2 linked regions of the Oreochromis niloticus genome follow. The protein of the gene in region 2 purifies or fractionates together with the protein of the main gene of each other region. This does not show direct contact. Links are inferred from orthologs where the notes say so. Each region holds a gene or a part of one and is shown on either strand. Other genes may lie near its edges. The genes, in order: mblac2 and slc9a6a.

Region 1 (7,593 bases), on a different chromosome or scaffold from region 2:
AAAATCGTCTTCTTTTCTTATGTATCCAAATTAACATGTTCTATACATATTTTTATGTGTACATTTTTATGGTGAAATTCTTTAGTAATGCATTGAACTTAAAAATAAAATCTGATATTTCTGTTAGAAGGTTAAATCATCCTACTTTTCTTAACTTTTCAAACTAAAAGCCCCCCAAATTAAACCCTTTCCATGCATTGAGAGAGGTTTCCATCAGATTAGAAAATGACTTTAAGTTCTCTATCCTTTGAACAGGTGTTGGATCATATTCCATCCACCTCTGTTCTGCCCCTTTTTCTCTCTCTTGCAACAAATCCCATTTGAGTTCCCCCCTGGAGAAGCAAATCCACTTATAAGCTGCTGCAATCTGTGCTGCAAAAGACTCAAAAAGCAGGTAGAACAGAGACTTTTTATTGTCTATGTTTCGATAGCAAAGCTGTAGATTAGTCAATAGTACAAAGCACAATTACAAACATAGGAGGTAGTCGACACTGAGTCTTCACTGAGCATTGTAATATGCATAGAGAACACTATGGCCATAATGACTTTGTTTCAAATGTCTCAGAGGAAAACCCAAAGCGCCCTGTTCTGTTTGTAGTGCAGAGTTATGCTATTGTTGTGCTATTGTAACTTCACATATGCTTAAAGTATAAAAATCAAACACTGAATTATATTAACACCAACATATACATATTCATCAGCATATAAGACCAGTAAATATTTTTTATAATAGGCTTCATATGGTGCTGATTATTGACTTCTGTAACCCAGTAGGGGCATTTCACACAAAGTTTGGCAATTACTTGATTTTCAGCTGGATTACATAAGTAAATGGACAGCGTTACATTAAGTTGCAGATAAAACAGAGGTAACCCCGCCCCCACCCTTTCTGTCCTCACACTCTTCCATGTCCTCCATACTAAAACATCTCTCTTTGTGCACTTGCTTCCTGCAGCTCAATGACCCACTCTCATTAGCAGGCACACTGTGGGTTGCACACCCGCAGCGCCACCCCAGCCAGACTCCTCCAGGCAAACGTGGAGAACTTTGCAGGGCATGTTTCAGCTCTGCTGATGTACGTGGAGGCAAGCCGATGGAGCCGCTTCGCACCGAATGCATTGTAGTGCCCCGGGAGGACTTGGTCGACCTGTTAAATCCATTTTAAAGCCAATAAACATGTATTTTATTTAACAAATAATGTTTAGCACATGTTAAAGTATATTGTTTTAAGTATTAGCACAGAAAACACAGCTTGTATATGTAGGCTAATAGATACTGGTATGCCAAATTTCAGCAGAGCAACATGATATTTTCATTATAAATCTATGAAATGTTGATATAAGGTGCTTTGGGATAAATACCCCTGGAAAAAAAAAGTGGAACTGTGTACTGAAATTGTGAGGCTGCTCTCTAGTGGGCTTTAGAGTTACCTGTTCGCTGTCCACCAGCCCAACCAGGCGCTCACAGCTGCTGATGTAGTCACTGACGCGGCTGTAGGGCAGCCAGTCAATCATTGCGCCGTCATACACAACATCGCCACTGAAAAGCAACTTATTGTCCCGGTCATGAAGGCAAATGCTTCCCCGAGAGTGTCCGGGCATGTGAAGCACAGTCAGCTGTCTGTCACCAAGATTGATGACATCACCTAGGCAGGAGAAAGAGAGAGAGAGTGAAGGCATTAGGTTTTGATAATTATTCACACATACAAACGTGGCATGAACCGTAATCACCGGCCACTATGTATTTAAAATCTTAGACTTATATATAAGTGATAACTCATATTCTGGCTGACTCACGTCAGAGTTATGTTTGTGCTTTCCACATGTCACTGAGTCACACAGATTCTGTGACATTCAGTATATCATCGATTTGGTCGACGCCAGTTATGAGTTGCACTGGCAAAAAGGGTGAAGTTGATACATCAGGGAATGAGATATACCAGCTGCACTGCAGTAGTGGCTCTGACACAGCAGAACGAGTTACTCTACAACACTGCATTTTGCATTAAACCCCAACAGATACGGCGGCTCAGCAAATACATTATTTATGATATAAGCTTTGTGTATTATTATGTGTGCTATTCTGATGAATGTGTGCTTTATATAAAGACTCCAGTGACCAGTGCTTTCAAACAACGTATCCACTTTCAGATTTATCAAGTAGATTGATTCAGCTCGCCACCTGCTGATCTTTGACCCACTATAAAAAATTGTTTGAGAAAAGAGAAGACTGTGTGGTTGTTACTTCGCGCTGTGGGATGCTTTCATTAAGTGTGACACCAGTCTCTGTATGCTCTTTCTTGGAAGCAAGAGAATACATCAAAGCCATCACACTGGCTTAAAATAGAACAGCTCTGCAGATATAGAGAATGAGCATATAGTTGCTACCAATGGAGTTTTTGTTGTTGTTTTTTTAACCCATACACTTCTAATAGGGGGAAATTGTCTGTACCTGCATTCCTTGGATAGAATATCCTGTTTTGTGTAATGGGATAATTGCACCTGTGTAATCACCAGTCCTGGCCTCATGTTGCTGCATTGAACTGGTTCCTCTAGCCTACTTTGTAACTGTAAAAATTACTGGCAGACCGACCCCTTGTCTCATCCCCACTACCTCCATTACATATATAATATGTGTCGATGTGTGAGCTAGCAAGTCATTGTTGGTCTTCTGCCAAATCGCGGTGCAGAATCTGAGGCTGGAAACGACTCTGTAGAGCATACTGTGCTCACACTAGGCCTGGTGCATCCATCAAGCCCATTACTGTATCGATTATGGTGCTTGTCACTAAGTGAATGCTTTTAGACCTTGCTGGTATTTGAGCACAGATCCATCCCTCTAGCCTAAATCAAATCTGCAAGGGCTGTATTTCCTACCTACCCTCCTGCAGTATGTGTGTGGGCTGCACAGCCTTGACTTTGTAGTGCCTTGCCCTCCATCCCGGGCTGGGAGCCTCGGCTATCTCCCTGTCGCTGAGCCAAGTGACCGTCTCGAAGTTGTCTCCGTTGGCCAGGGCATCGACCTCCGCGCTGTGGACGCCCACCTGTTGGAACTGATGCAGACCACCGGAGTGGTCGAAGTGGGCGTGGGTGGCGATGGCAAGCAGCGGGTTTTTCCTCTGCGGGTCTTTTCCCAGCAGGCCTTTGGCGTCGATGTATTCAGGTAAGCTCCTTAAGCCCAGACCCGTGTCTATCACCACGTCCTGGTGTGTGCCGCGCAGCAACCAGATGTTGGCTCGGTTCTCCGACTGGTAGAATCGCTCCTGGATCCAGAAGATTCCGTCTCCGAGCGATTTGTGAGCGTACCAGTCGACTGCAGACATCCCAGTTCATTCGCTTGTCGAAGTAGGGTTCAGTATGGTGTCTTGCTGTCAGGTGATTTATTGGGGGGGAGAGGTGTAACTAGCCTTCTAGCTACAGATGATATGTTTTCATTGAGGTTAATGCGATGGTGGCCGCAGACACACCCTTGTAGGAGGACACTAAGCTCACTGGGCAAACCGATAAACGACGGCAGCTTAACGTGGGTTGCAATTGGCTATACGCAAACCACGCCTCCTCTGTCGTCACGCAGAGGAGGAGCGAGTTAAAGCCACATTTACGCATGCTGACAGTGGCGTATGGCGTGTGCAGGTTTCCAAAGCCGGTGCTAGCTAAGCAGTATAAAGTCTAAGCAGTATCTTCATTAGGTTCAGCTGAAATGTATGTGATTTTTAAGGAGTTGTCGAGGGACAGATAAAACCGGCCAGAGAGGTACATTAAAAAACTGAAACATGTGGATCCAGTAAGAGCTAAATATCGCTGTCCAGCTCTGAAGTAGACTTTGTGCTTTTTTACATTAGGCGCAGTATACTAACAGGCTTCTAGTAAGTATTTCGACATACTTTACACGTAGAGTGCGTCTCTGATGCTGACTAAAGCTTCATCGCTGGCAGAGTCACGCTAAAGGCGATGGAAGCTGTAGAACGTTAACTTTCATCAACACGTGTTGACTGGAGATATGTGGACGTGTGTGTGTGTGTGTGTGTGTGTGTGTGTGTGCAGGAACAGAGGAGACCTGCAGCCATGGCAGGCAAGGGTCGTGGAGTTGGTGCTTTTACCTTCAATATTGACGCTCTGGGCATCGGCAGGGGCAACATGCCAGAAGCCAGGGTGGGGCCCAGTCCTCTGTTTCCAGTAAGTACCGAACACAGTCGTTTACACACACACACACACACACACACACACACACACACACACACACACACACACACACACACACACACACACACACACACACACACACACCAGCAGGATGACAGATTGCATTTCAGTATAACAAATTCACCTCTAATGGTCAAACTTTACTGGAGCGACTTTGGGAGAGACCTTTTTGAGAGAGGTAGGTGAAATTTGCATGGAATTTGAATAGCAGACTATATACAGTGGAGGTTTACTTATAATAGGTTAAGGTTTATTCTTTGTAATAAAATTTACGAAACATTTTACTGCATTTGTATTTAAATGAAGGGAGATGAAAGTATATTTATCGTGCTCATGGCCAACATGTGTTTAAGAGTTATGACCCAATGAGTGTCTCTCACAGGGTTCACAAATAAGCACAAAGGGGGTAAAGGGCAATAATGTATGCGCTTATGTTAAATTCATGGCCAGGTTTTCTAATTTGGTCGTGTGTATTCCCAAAGAATATGGCAGATATTTACGTGCCTCTTGGATTCTGCCAGGATGCTTTATGGGGATTTTTTTTTTCTTTTAAACACAGTTTGGACTATGCTTACAATGTAGTATATTTTGACTATTCATACTTAAAATGTTGAACACCTTTACATGGCAGTCTGAATTTCAGTTAGATTTGAAATTTATTTGCACTTGAACATTATTAATATCGGCATTACATCATCCATACTTCTCCAGAGCACGGATTTTAAACCAGTTCCACTGAAAGCTGGCGAGGATGAGGACTATATGCTGGCCTTAAAACAAGAGATGAGGGGAACAATGCAACGGCTGCCATACAACATCAAACCTCAGTCCAATAAAGCAGGTGAGGAAGGCGGTGCATTAGAAACCTGACATCAGCTGAAATGACGCTGTAAGACAGTTGTCTGCTGTGGGGGAAGATAATGCAGCTTTTAGGAACAAAGACTTTCAGTTAAGGTCATATCTGGGAAACGGAGAGAGGCAGATTAATGACAGAATATTGAGTTACAGATGTCTCATCTTGCGAAACCACAGATTTCTTTTGTCTGGATTACTGGCCTTTCAAAACTCTCCTGTTCCACAGTTAGCTAAATGTAACCATGTAAAGAAGTCAGTGTATTTTATAGGGGGAAGGGGGGATTGCTTATTCAGCAGGGGGTCTGTGGTGAACATGACTATAGGGAAATTACCTATGAAAAGGAAGTGCACCCAGTTCTTCTGTGCAGAAGCAAATATACACACATCATGACCGATAAACAGAGAAGCAGCTGCTGCTTCATATCTACAGCCTCTTCAGCAAGACTCTCATCCCATGGTTGAGCACCACCTCCGCTGTCTTAGATAGCTGTTAGACATTGTACTCCATCCAAAACCTGCAGTAAAAAGAGAGCTGGTTCATGGGCTGTAGAGCAGAACAAATACTAAATGTCTTTTAGCTTGATGAGGCCAAGGCCTATTAACTTCTCATCAGTGATCATCATTGATTACAACTAGTCTGTCTTTGACAGGAAAAAAAGAAGGATTTGTTTGACAGGGCTCATTGGATTGACGCACAATGGGAGAGTTGAAGGAACTCTGTGAAGATCCAAGAAGGAGAATTGATAATTTACATAATTTGGGAAAGTCTATTTGAGCTATTTTAAACAATATCACATTCCAAGTTTTCAATTTTCTGGAAGAAGATCCGAACTGTTACCCTCGGATGAGAGAAAATTGGTTAGGATGTTCACGAACAACCGAAGAACAACCGGGTCTCAAGTCTACCGTGAAATCGAAACTACTCAAAGACCAGCCGCTGAAGCGAGTTTTAATTCTTTTGCCGACCACAAAAGAATACCCTGCTCCAAAATCAACAGCTTCAATTTCAACTGAAATTTGCAGCTAGATGGTTGAAACTTTGGACACAATTGGGTGTTCAAACAGGACAGTGTTCCCAAATACACATCAAAATTGGTTTTGGATTGGATAAAGCAGACTAACATTAAAATTCTGGCTTTTGCAAAACCACAGCCTCAATCTTATTGAAAATTTGTGGACTATGCTTAAAAGTCCGGTCCGTCTGGGTGGGCGGCATTTAGTGTTATCAGTCCTTTCATCCTTCAAGACCTGCCAAAATTAATCCAAGCTTCTGTAACAAATTCTTGTATTTTTTTGTTTTTTTTAAAGGCATTAAAGATGCATGCTGTACAGTCCTTCCACTCTATAAAAATATCATTTCAAAGAAATCATTAAAGCCCCAAATGACCATGACATTCATGCTACTGACTGTATGTAAACTTCTAGAGTAACACTGCAGTTTGTGTTGACGCATACTAGTCTAAATGTTTTTAAGAGTATGACCTTTCTTTTGTTTACTTGAAAACAGAAGTGGAGAGATACACCGAGAGATACCTGAAGCAAAGCCAGATTGACGACAATGAATGGACTCCAGGTACGTGCGTAACACATCATTATGGGATTAGGTGGAACACAAAAAAGAGGATGATGATAACATTTTTCTTGATATTTTAGACTGGAACCTTTTTCCAAAAGAACTGATGCCCAGAAGAAAACGACCTCAGGCTAAAACGGGTACATTAAATACAATATGTATGAAATCACATTTCTTGTTACTATAAGAATAAAGACCCAATGTTTAACTCCAACAGGCACAAAAAAAAGTGCGAAGATATCACGCAAGGACACAGAGAACATTCTGACCAAATTAGATGTAAGCTTCATTTAAATTTACTGTCAGTTCTCTCTCCACACCTTTGGTGTTTCACATGAGTAATTTGATATTAATGCCAGGAACTGGCAAACAAAGATGACCCTGAAAAATCAGATGAGGAGACTGAAAAGAAGCCGCGAAATGAGGATGAAGAGGAAATTGAAGAGGAAGAATATGAAGAGGAGGATATTGAAGAGGTGTGATTCCAAGATGTACTGCAAAATGTGTTACACATAACGATCAATATGTACAAACTAGATCTAACATTGCTTTCTCTTCGTTCTGTGTAGGAGAACGACTACATAGAAAGCTACTTCGACAACGGTGAAGATTTCGCTGCGGACAGTGACGATAATATGGATGGCGAAGCAACATACTGAGCGTCTCTCAAGCAAGGACGTGCTGAAGTTAAACATAATGTGACTGCTTCTTTTGGTTAAATATTGCACATAAGTTGGGAATGCTATTCAGTGTGGAGCGATGCCCTTTTTCTTTTTCTGATCAAGCTTTCGTTAAAGACTAATGTAAATAAGAAATGCTGAAATATGTGCACACGGCAATAATTTATTCAAAATAGATTTATTTATTCTTCATCCTGTAGACAAGTTTCACAGGTTGAAAGGCACATACTGTTAAGAACACAATGCTCTGTCATAGAATATCAACTGAACACAGTGAGAAAAT
Region 2 (7,549 bases):
AAATGCATACTTACTATAAAATAAATTATTCATCTTGATGAAACCCCTGCGGTCTATAAAGAGACTACAAATGGACTTTTAAAATTTCATAGTCAAAATATGATGTTATTTAATCAAGAGCCAAACACATACTGAAAATATGTATTTAATAAATGTTGACTTTTTATATGATATACTGTACCCTTTTTAAGCTGTAGCCAGCATGGAAGATGATAGGCGGTAGGAGAATATTGAAGAACACTTCAGGGTCAAAGGTCACCTGAGTTATACAAAACACAGAACAAAATTGCCGATCTGCATCAAAAGAAAATTAACAAGTTGTTTTCATTAATATTTCTTTCTATGCTGTTGCATTTATGGATCGACTGAAATATTAATTAATCAAAAATGACACATCTGGGGCATCATGACACAGCTTCCAGGACAATAAACAAAAACCTACTATAAAAGTAACATGGTATGTCACAGAAAGAGGACAGCTTCTAGCCACATACATATACACATACTAAGGCTAATGCCAATTTTAGATGCTAAATCTAGAGCAGTGCTACATTCAAATCAGTATGTGGTTTCAATCTCTGACAATGGATTAGATGTATTCATGTTTGGAAAACAATCCTAAATTGCTGAGCGTGAGATTATGACTTAAAAAAATGAAACTTGTTCAGCAGATTGTTTACTTGTTTGGTGGTTAGAATAGCATCAAGAATACTGCTTGTATGTAATTGTGCAGCTGTTTAACCGACAAAGTACAAAGTGACAAACACACCCCAGCACATGACAACTGTAAAACAACTACTTTTATGGTTTCTTTTACATTCTGTATCACCAATAAAGGCATTCTGCCAGTTATTTTAACAGAGCATTTCATGCCCTGTTTAGTCTTCAAACAGATTTGATCTAGATGTACAGCTATTCTTTTAAATTTGAAATAGCTACTTAATGTTGATAATAAATAATTAGTATTACAGAAAGAGAATCACAAATCATTCAGCTCACAAAAAACTAAAACCACCATTTAATCCCATTACAAATTAACCTGACTATGATTTCTCTCTTGCATTGGTTAGTTATGCTGTATTTAAAATATCAGAAGGGAAACATGTGGGGTAGCTGGTTTTGTCTGATCATCAGTGCTTGCAGATTTAAACATCTGCTATCATTTCAGTGTAAAATAACTGACAATTATGTCTTCGCTGATGATTAAATCATCTGATTGCTCCAGCTCAGGGGTGGGGAATTAATCTTCTCAAGGGGATACAGGAGAAACTGGGACTCTTGTGGAGGGCTGTACCAATAACTTATACAGAGATAAAATTAATACTGAGTTCAATTTACTGGCACTGTCCTCCACAACAGTCCCAGTTTCTCACATAGTCCCTTAGGAAAATAATTACCCATCTCTGTAACACAATTTCTTGTATGTAGACATCACGACTGAGTATACCTTGCGCAGCATCTCATTGTCCTGCACGTCGTTCACTTCATTGGCATTGATCTCCCCTTTCAATGTGTACTCGTAGAACTTGCCGCTTACATTGACCAGCAGAGTGGCAGGGCTGGCATTGACCTGGCAATTCAAGGTGATGTTGCTAACATCCCGAGGAACATGAATGCCATAACGCAAAATCACTCCAACAATTAAGCCTGGGGAAAAATTAATAAAAACGAAAGACAAAAAAAAAAAAAAAACAGTAGAGAGAGAAGAATTGATTAATACAGGATTTTTAATGGTTTATGGCATGTTGCCACAAAAACGGATGGTGAGTGCAGTTTTAGGCTACCTGACACTACAGATGGTCTAAAATGTTTCAGTGGAATTAATTTGTAGAAAAAAAAAATTAAACAAAGGTCTAGTCTGAACATCACAGACGTACCTAACAGCTTTGGATCTCAAATTAAAGTCTTAACACATCCATGTGAAAATAAATTACCCTATCAGATAGTGTACCAGCAAATTAGAATTTCAATTAGTTTAGATTAGATTAGACCATATTGTCTCCAGTGGGAGAAATTTGTCTTGGTCAACGGAGGGGAATATGTCACACAAAATAAACATCACAACATGTCTTTAAATATCTCATGGAGAGAAAATTGAGGAAGGATGACAACCATCTTTCCAGCTATTTTGATCAAATTTTGATTTGTGATCTGATCTTGACTTAAAATGCTCAGATCAAACATCTGTTACTATGGTAGTAATGCATGGTTTGGTAACCATGTAGTAGACAGTAATGTCACAGCTAAAATAATAGCATAATGTTATTATCCATCCTATGGAGCCTTCATAAAAACTAAAAGTGAGTGATTTGTGAATGTTTACACTCTAAAAGCTCTGCACAGCCAAACAGAAATTATTAATTATCTGCTAGATATGGTTCTACGATGATTCTACAATGGCACGACCACTTCCTCTTCTACGGGTTGGAAGAATTCTAACAATACTCCTGAAATTCAATATACAGAAGTGGAAGCAAAGTCCAGTTCCACACTCATGATTGGCACTTGTCCAAATAATCACTTGTGACTTGCACGAAAAAGCAAAAACAAAAACAAAACAAAAACAAGTTATTTAAGAACTAAAATTCAGTAGGATTCATAAGACAGTATTTGTCGAAATTGCTTAGGTGCTCAGATGTAATTTTTAAGACTAAGCAGTGTAAAAGAGGCGTTCACTGTCGTTAAATTACGCTTGCTCAATCACAACACAAACTGGCACAGTCCTGCTGCATAAATCTGTTAAAATTCGCCCAAATGAAGTATGTCATTAACAGGGGCGAACTTATCAAGCGTGGTGTTGACATTCATCTGTTTAAAATCTAACTATTAGGACACAATGAGTGTAACAGCTCGGATGACGTCTCTCTGTCACGATGGACCATCTTACCATAAATCATTGCCAGCCCGGTTTCGTGGAGAAACCTGAACCGCCGATGTTTGAACAACCATATTGTCAGGATGGTGAGGGTGAGGAGCAGGATAAAGATCAGCAGGTCAGCGCTGTCTTGTCTGTGGCTCTCCTCAGCCTTTTTCTCTGTAACGATGTTCTCCATGGCACTGTCCTCCTGAGGTGATGATGCTCGGCAAACACTGATGCAAACAGGCAGGCTTACTAGCACGAGCAGCCACAGCGTCCTTGTTGCCCTCCGGGCACTGCTGACAGTCACTTTAAACACCATTTCGACTTTCGGCGGCCAAATGCTGCAACGTCGCCGAAGGTAAAAATAAACTTGTGCAAATATTATTCATAAACTGAGGGGAGTGGGCAACAGAAAGACGACAGCAAAAGAGAAACCAATTCCGGCCCGGAAGGGAAAAGTAATTTTTCCAGAAAGTGTAATTTTATGTTTCAAATTAAAAGCACACCACCGTACCGTGGGTGGTTAAAATCAACGCCTGTGGAAAAATTTAATGCCGCAAAAAGAATAAACCTTCTAAATAAACAAAAATGTCTATCTGGCAGTTTTCTTGGCAGTTTGCTTCTTATTAGCGATGATAGTTTTCCCCGAAATCTTTTATTATGAAATATTTGACGATAGCCGTGCTTACCGGGAAGTGAGTCCAACAGTCCTTTAGGCTATCGATTTGTGTTGTATTGAAAATAAATAAATAAAAATAAACCAGATATAATAACGAACTTAACATTTATTTTAGGTTACGGTTTAATTCTTAATAGAATAAGTTTAAATAAAAAATAGACGCATATTTCCTGTGGTATTTCCTCATTCCTACTTCCTTCCTACTTTTCTTTTACCTACAGACCATTTAGCATAACGATACGAACATCAAATAATAATTTTAAATATTTATAGATACATTTAACTATATTGCATAAAGAATATTCGTTATTTTTTGTTTTTCAAAAGTACTTTTGACAAGTCTCGTGATACGGATGGTTGCGTGTGACGTTCCGATTTATCGGAATTTTTTATTTTACTGTCATGCACTGAAAAACAAACTAATTTGCACTGTTAGTCCTTATTTAATAACATGGCAGTACAAAATATGCATATATATATATTATAATTACTTAATTATTAACTAAAATATGCCTAAATTTGTAATTTAATGCTCAGACATACGAGTTGTACAGCCAAGGTACAGAAAATACAAATTTCCGAGGAGGTATTGAAAGTGGCAAAGCCCTATACAACACTCTTGTTTTCGCTCGTGATTATGCTATCACCGTGTAGCTAAGAAGTCTCGTTTTTTTTTACTTAGAGTTGTCATGTTTATGCGTGTTTGCCATTGAAAGATATCTATACAGCTGCACCATCTAAACTTGAAAAACGACGATGACATCTAAACTGAAAGGTACGTTAAAATCCTCTGCCCTTATCCTTATGCTAAAGATAACTAGCTGTTAGCCTCTTAGCCTCCACTTTTGTAAGGTAAAGAAACATTTTTAGTTGTCGGTTATTAAGATGAAGCTGATAGTAACAATAATGGTGATGATGTAACAGAACATGTTGTCTGTGGCATATTTTAACAACTGTGTTCGCAAATTAGCGTTTGTCGTTCCTGTCTTTTGAACATTATGTATAATCTCCTATAGTGTTACTGGTCCACAGTGTGGTAGACATCACTAATGTAAAATGCACAAGTAACCTTTATTAGCAATAATTATCGGTGTTTTACTTTTGATGTAAAGACATTCGTGATAGAATTTGAAAAGAGATTCATAGTACATTTGGTAGGAACGTTGGTTATTTTTTCGTTCATTTATTCATTCATAGTATAATATAATAAACTAAATGTTATATTGAACTAACAATAACATTTGTTGGTTTGCATATACGCACTGTGAGAAATAAAAATGGTTTGGCTATTTACATTTTTAGCTTATTACATTGTAAGTTCCTTTTTTGTCAGCACTGAAATAAACTTTACTGTTGTAGGTACTTAAGATATTAATTAGTGTTTATATATTTCTAGTGTTGCTGCCCAGTGAAAACCTCATACCTTTAAAGACAATTTTCCACAAGTTTAAAAAAAAAAGCAAAACAAAGAACACTCAAAGTAAAATATTGCATATAAAATCACCAAACTTGGAGGTTTCTTTCCACAGGAAGAACATGAAAGACTATAAAGTGATCAGTAATTAAAGCTGTCAAACAATGTGGTGGAGTGTAGTGTTTGCCCCTGAAATATAATGTAGTAGAATTTTAAAGTTGCACAAAGAGCCCAGCTAAGGTACCAAAAATGCTTTAAATGGTCCACAGACCAGTCCATCTAGCAGATGATTCAGTTGAACTGAATTTATAATATAATATAATAAAATATAATACAGAGAAAGCCACAGCAATCAAACGAAATGCAATGAGTAAGCATTCAGTGGGAAAGGCAAAGGAAAAACTCCTTTTTAACAGGAAGAAACCTCCAGCAGAACCAGGCTTCAGGAGTGGCATCCATCTGACACTGTGAAAAAAGACACTGTGGAAGAGAGCCAGAGATTAATATATTAGACACTATATTACTTCTTACTTCAAAATAGGAAAAAATGAGTACCTAATGTACTGTATATTTTAATGTTAAAGTAGAATGACAAACTTTGTAGTTTGTCATCATATAGCAAGCAAGACATATTTTAACGCTTTCATTATGGTGATGTGTTTTGATTTTAGTTGGGAAGGTCGGTTCCAAGAGTAAGGAGGATGCCCCTTATGAGTTGGAGAGCCAGTTTGTCCTTAGGCTTCCTTCGGTGAGACGTTTGCACTTGCAGAAATTCATTGTTTGATGGAAATTCAGTTTTATCACCATACATATGATCTGGCTTCATTTTTCTTTCTTTTGCAGGAGTATGCCTCAACAGTAAGAAGGATTGCACAGTCTAGCAGTATGAACATGAAGGACAGACTCACCATTGAGTTGCACCGTAAGCTGCTCACAATCTTGGCACTGGTTTAATGTGTCTCACACTGTCTCCCTGTCTTGTTATTTATTTACAGTTGGGTCCAGAATTTTGAACATTGTACATATTTCTATAGCAGTTTCATTCTTTTTGTTATTTAAATGTAACAAGCATACTAATGGAACTAGTTAAAGAAATGTCACCCACATGTCCCTTAACAGTTATTTGTCCCTCTAATTTGTAGCTGATGGTCGTCATGGCATAGTTAGAGTAGACCGTGTTCCTTTGGCCTGCAAACTGGTTGATCTGCCCTGCATGATTGAGTCACTCAAAACGGTGGATAAGAAGACGTTTTACAAGACTGCAGATGTCTGCCAGGTAAGCAAGAGACTGGAAATAAATTTTTACAGTTTTCCATTATTTCATTGGTTTAAAATAAAAGTACATTTTGGATTTTAGATACATGTTATGTAAATTTATTTTCCACAGTTGTAGTGTAGTTGCAGTGCAGATTAATCAGCATAATATTTTGCATTCATTTTTCCCATCCACGGGTTAGATGCTCGTGTGTACACTAGATGGAGACCTTTACCCCCCTTTGGAAGAGCCAACTGGCACTGACCCTAAGACCAAAAAGAAGGATAAAGACAAGGACAAGAAATTTGTTTGGAATCACGGCAGTAAGTAATTATATACACACAGCAGCTTTTTGACTTGTTTATATTGAAAACTTGGCATATCAGCAGTTCAGGAAACATAATGTCCCCTCCTTGGGTAATAGACTGATTTTTGGCTTCACTAATCCCATTGTTTTGCTCTTTAGTCACCTGCCCTCTGAAGAACACGCGCAAGAGGAGATTTCGGAAGACTGCGAAAAAAAAGGTTCTGACATTTTTCATTTTCCCTACAGCAGTCCCCTCCCATGTCCCATCCATCTCCTTAGCATCTCGTTTGATGATCCATCTTTTTCCTAGGCTCTCTTCCAACAAGACATTTACATTTCATAAAACAGGAACTGTGGTAAAAGTGAAAACTAAGATTTACATATAAATAAAGCCTTTCCATCTTAGTTTTCCCCAAAGGCATGCAAAAAAGCTATTTCACTATTGCTTTGATCAAAGTGAAAGCGAGTGGAGCTGGAGCACTACACTTCTACTTTGTCTTCTGAATAAATCTTCCTGAAGGTGCAGAGCTGAGCCATATTGATTTGGCCCCTTCTGTTTTTAATCGCTAATGTACTTCCTGGCATGTGGCCAGCTGCTACCTTGGTGTGTGTGTGTGGGTAAGATAGAGACTGAGGAGGACGGCAAGAGAGATGCTGCTAATACTACAAGTAACTCGATCTCTCTGTCTTTTGCAGTACATTGAATCTCCTGATGTGGAAAAGGAAGTGAAGAGATTGCTGAGCACAGATGCTGAGGCTGTCAGCGTCCGTATCCTTTTTGACACCTAAACATTCTGCACGTCCATCCTAGGACAATAGTAATGGTGTATATAAACCATCAAAACAATAGTGTGTATTACATCTTTAAAAGTACTTCAGTAAGGCAGAATCAGCTGGCCATTACTTGTAACATGAAATTTACTCAGTTTTTCAGAAGCATCACATAATTAGCACTCTTTGTCTTTTAGGTCAAACATAATCTCTGTCTAATTTACCTTGTAAAATATGTTGAAGTTAGGCCCAACTGGCTTTCC

Evidence for each region.
Region 1: the proteins of slc9a6a (region 2) and mblac2 purify together in Homo sapiens (co-immunoprecipitation; 3 studies listed by BioGRID and IntAct, counting the BioPlex papers as one, with this or other methods). This does not show direct contact. The link is inferred for Oreochromis niloticus from reciprocal best matches to the Homo sapiens genes SLC9A6 and MBLAC2.

The regions. Positions count from the first base shown.
Region 1 is NC_031977.2:14,420,147-14,427,739, forward strand, and holds mblac2 (acyl-coenzyme A thioesterase MBLAC2), read right to left. Parts: upstream 3,483-7,593; 5' UTR 3,323-3,482; coding exon 2,881-3,322; intron 1,646-2,880; coding exon 1,431-1,645; intron 1,148-1,430; coding exon 974-1,147; 3' UTR 392-973; downstream 1-391. Other genes in the region: polr3g (DNA-directed RNA polymerase III subunit RPC7), read left to right, coding at 4,065-4,175, 4,914-5,043, 6,565-6,630, 6,711-6,770, 6,848-6,909, 6,990-7,106, 7,200-7,289. UniProt on the Homo sapiens protein: Acyl-CoA thioesterases are a group of enzymes that catalyze the hydrolysis of acyl-CoAs to the free fatty acid and coenzyme A (CoASH), providing the potential to regulate intracellular levels of acyl-CoAs, free fatty acids and CoASH.
Region 2 is NC_031966.2:19,243,196-19,250,744, reverse strand, and holds the start of slc9a6a (sodium/hydrogen exchanger 6a), read right to left. Parts: upstream 3,332-7,549; 5' UTR 3,180-3,331; coding exon 2,888-3,179; intron 1,648-2,887; coding exon 1,448-1,647; intron 260-1,447; coding exon 182-259; intron 1-181. Other genes in the region: taf7 (transcription initiation factor TFIID subunit 7), read left to right, coding at 4,296-4,314, 5,625-5,701, 5,797-5,875, 6,096-6,229, 6,411-6,531, 6,675-6,733, 7,212-7,284. UniProt on the Homo sapiens protein: Endosomal Na(+), K(+)/H(+) antiporter. Mediates the electroneutral exchange of endosomal luminal H(+) for a cytosolic Na(+) or K(+).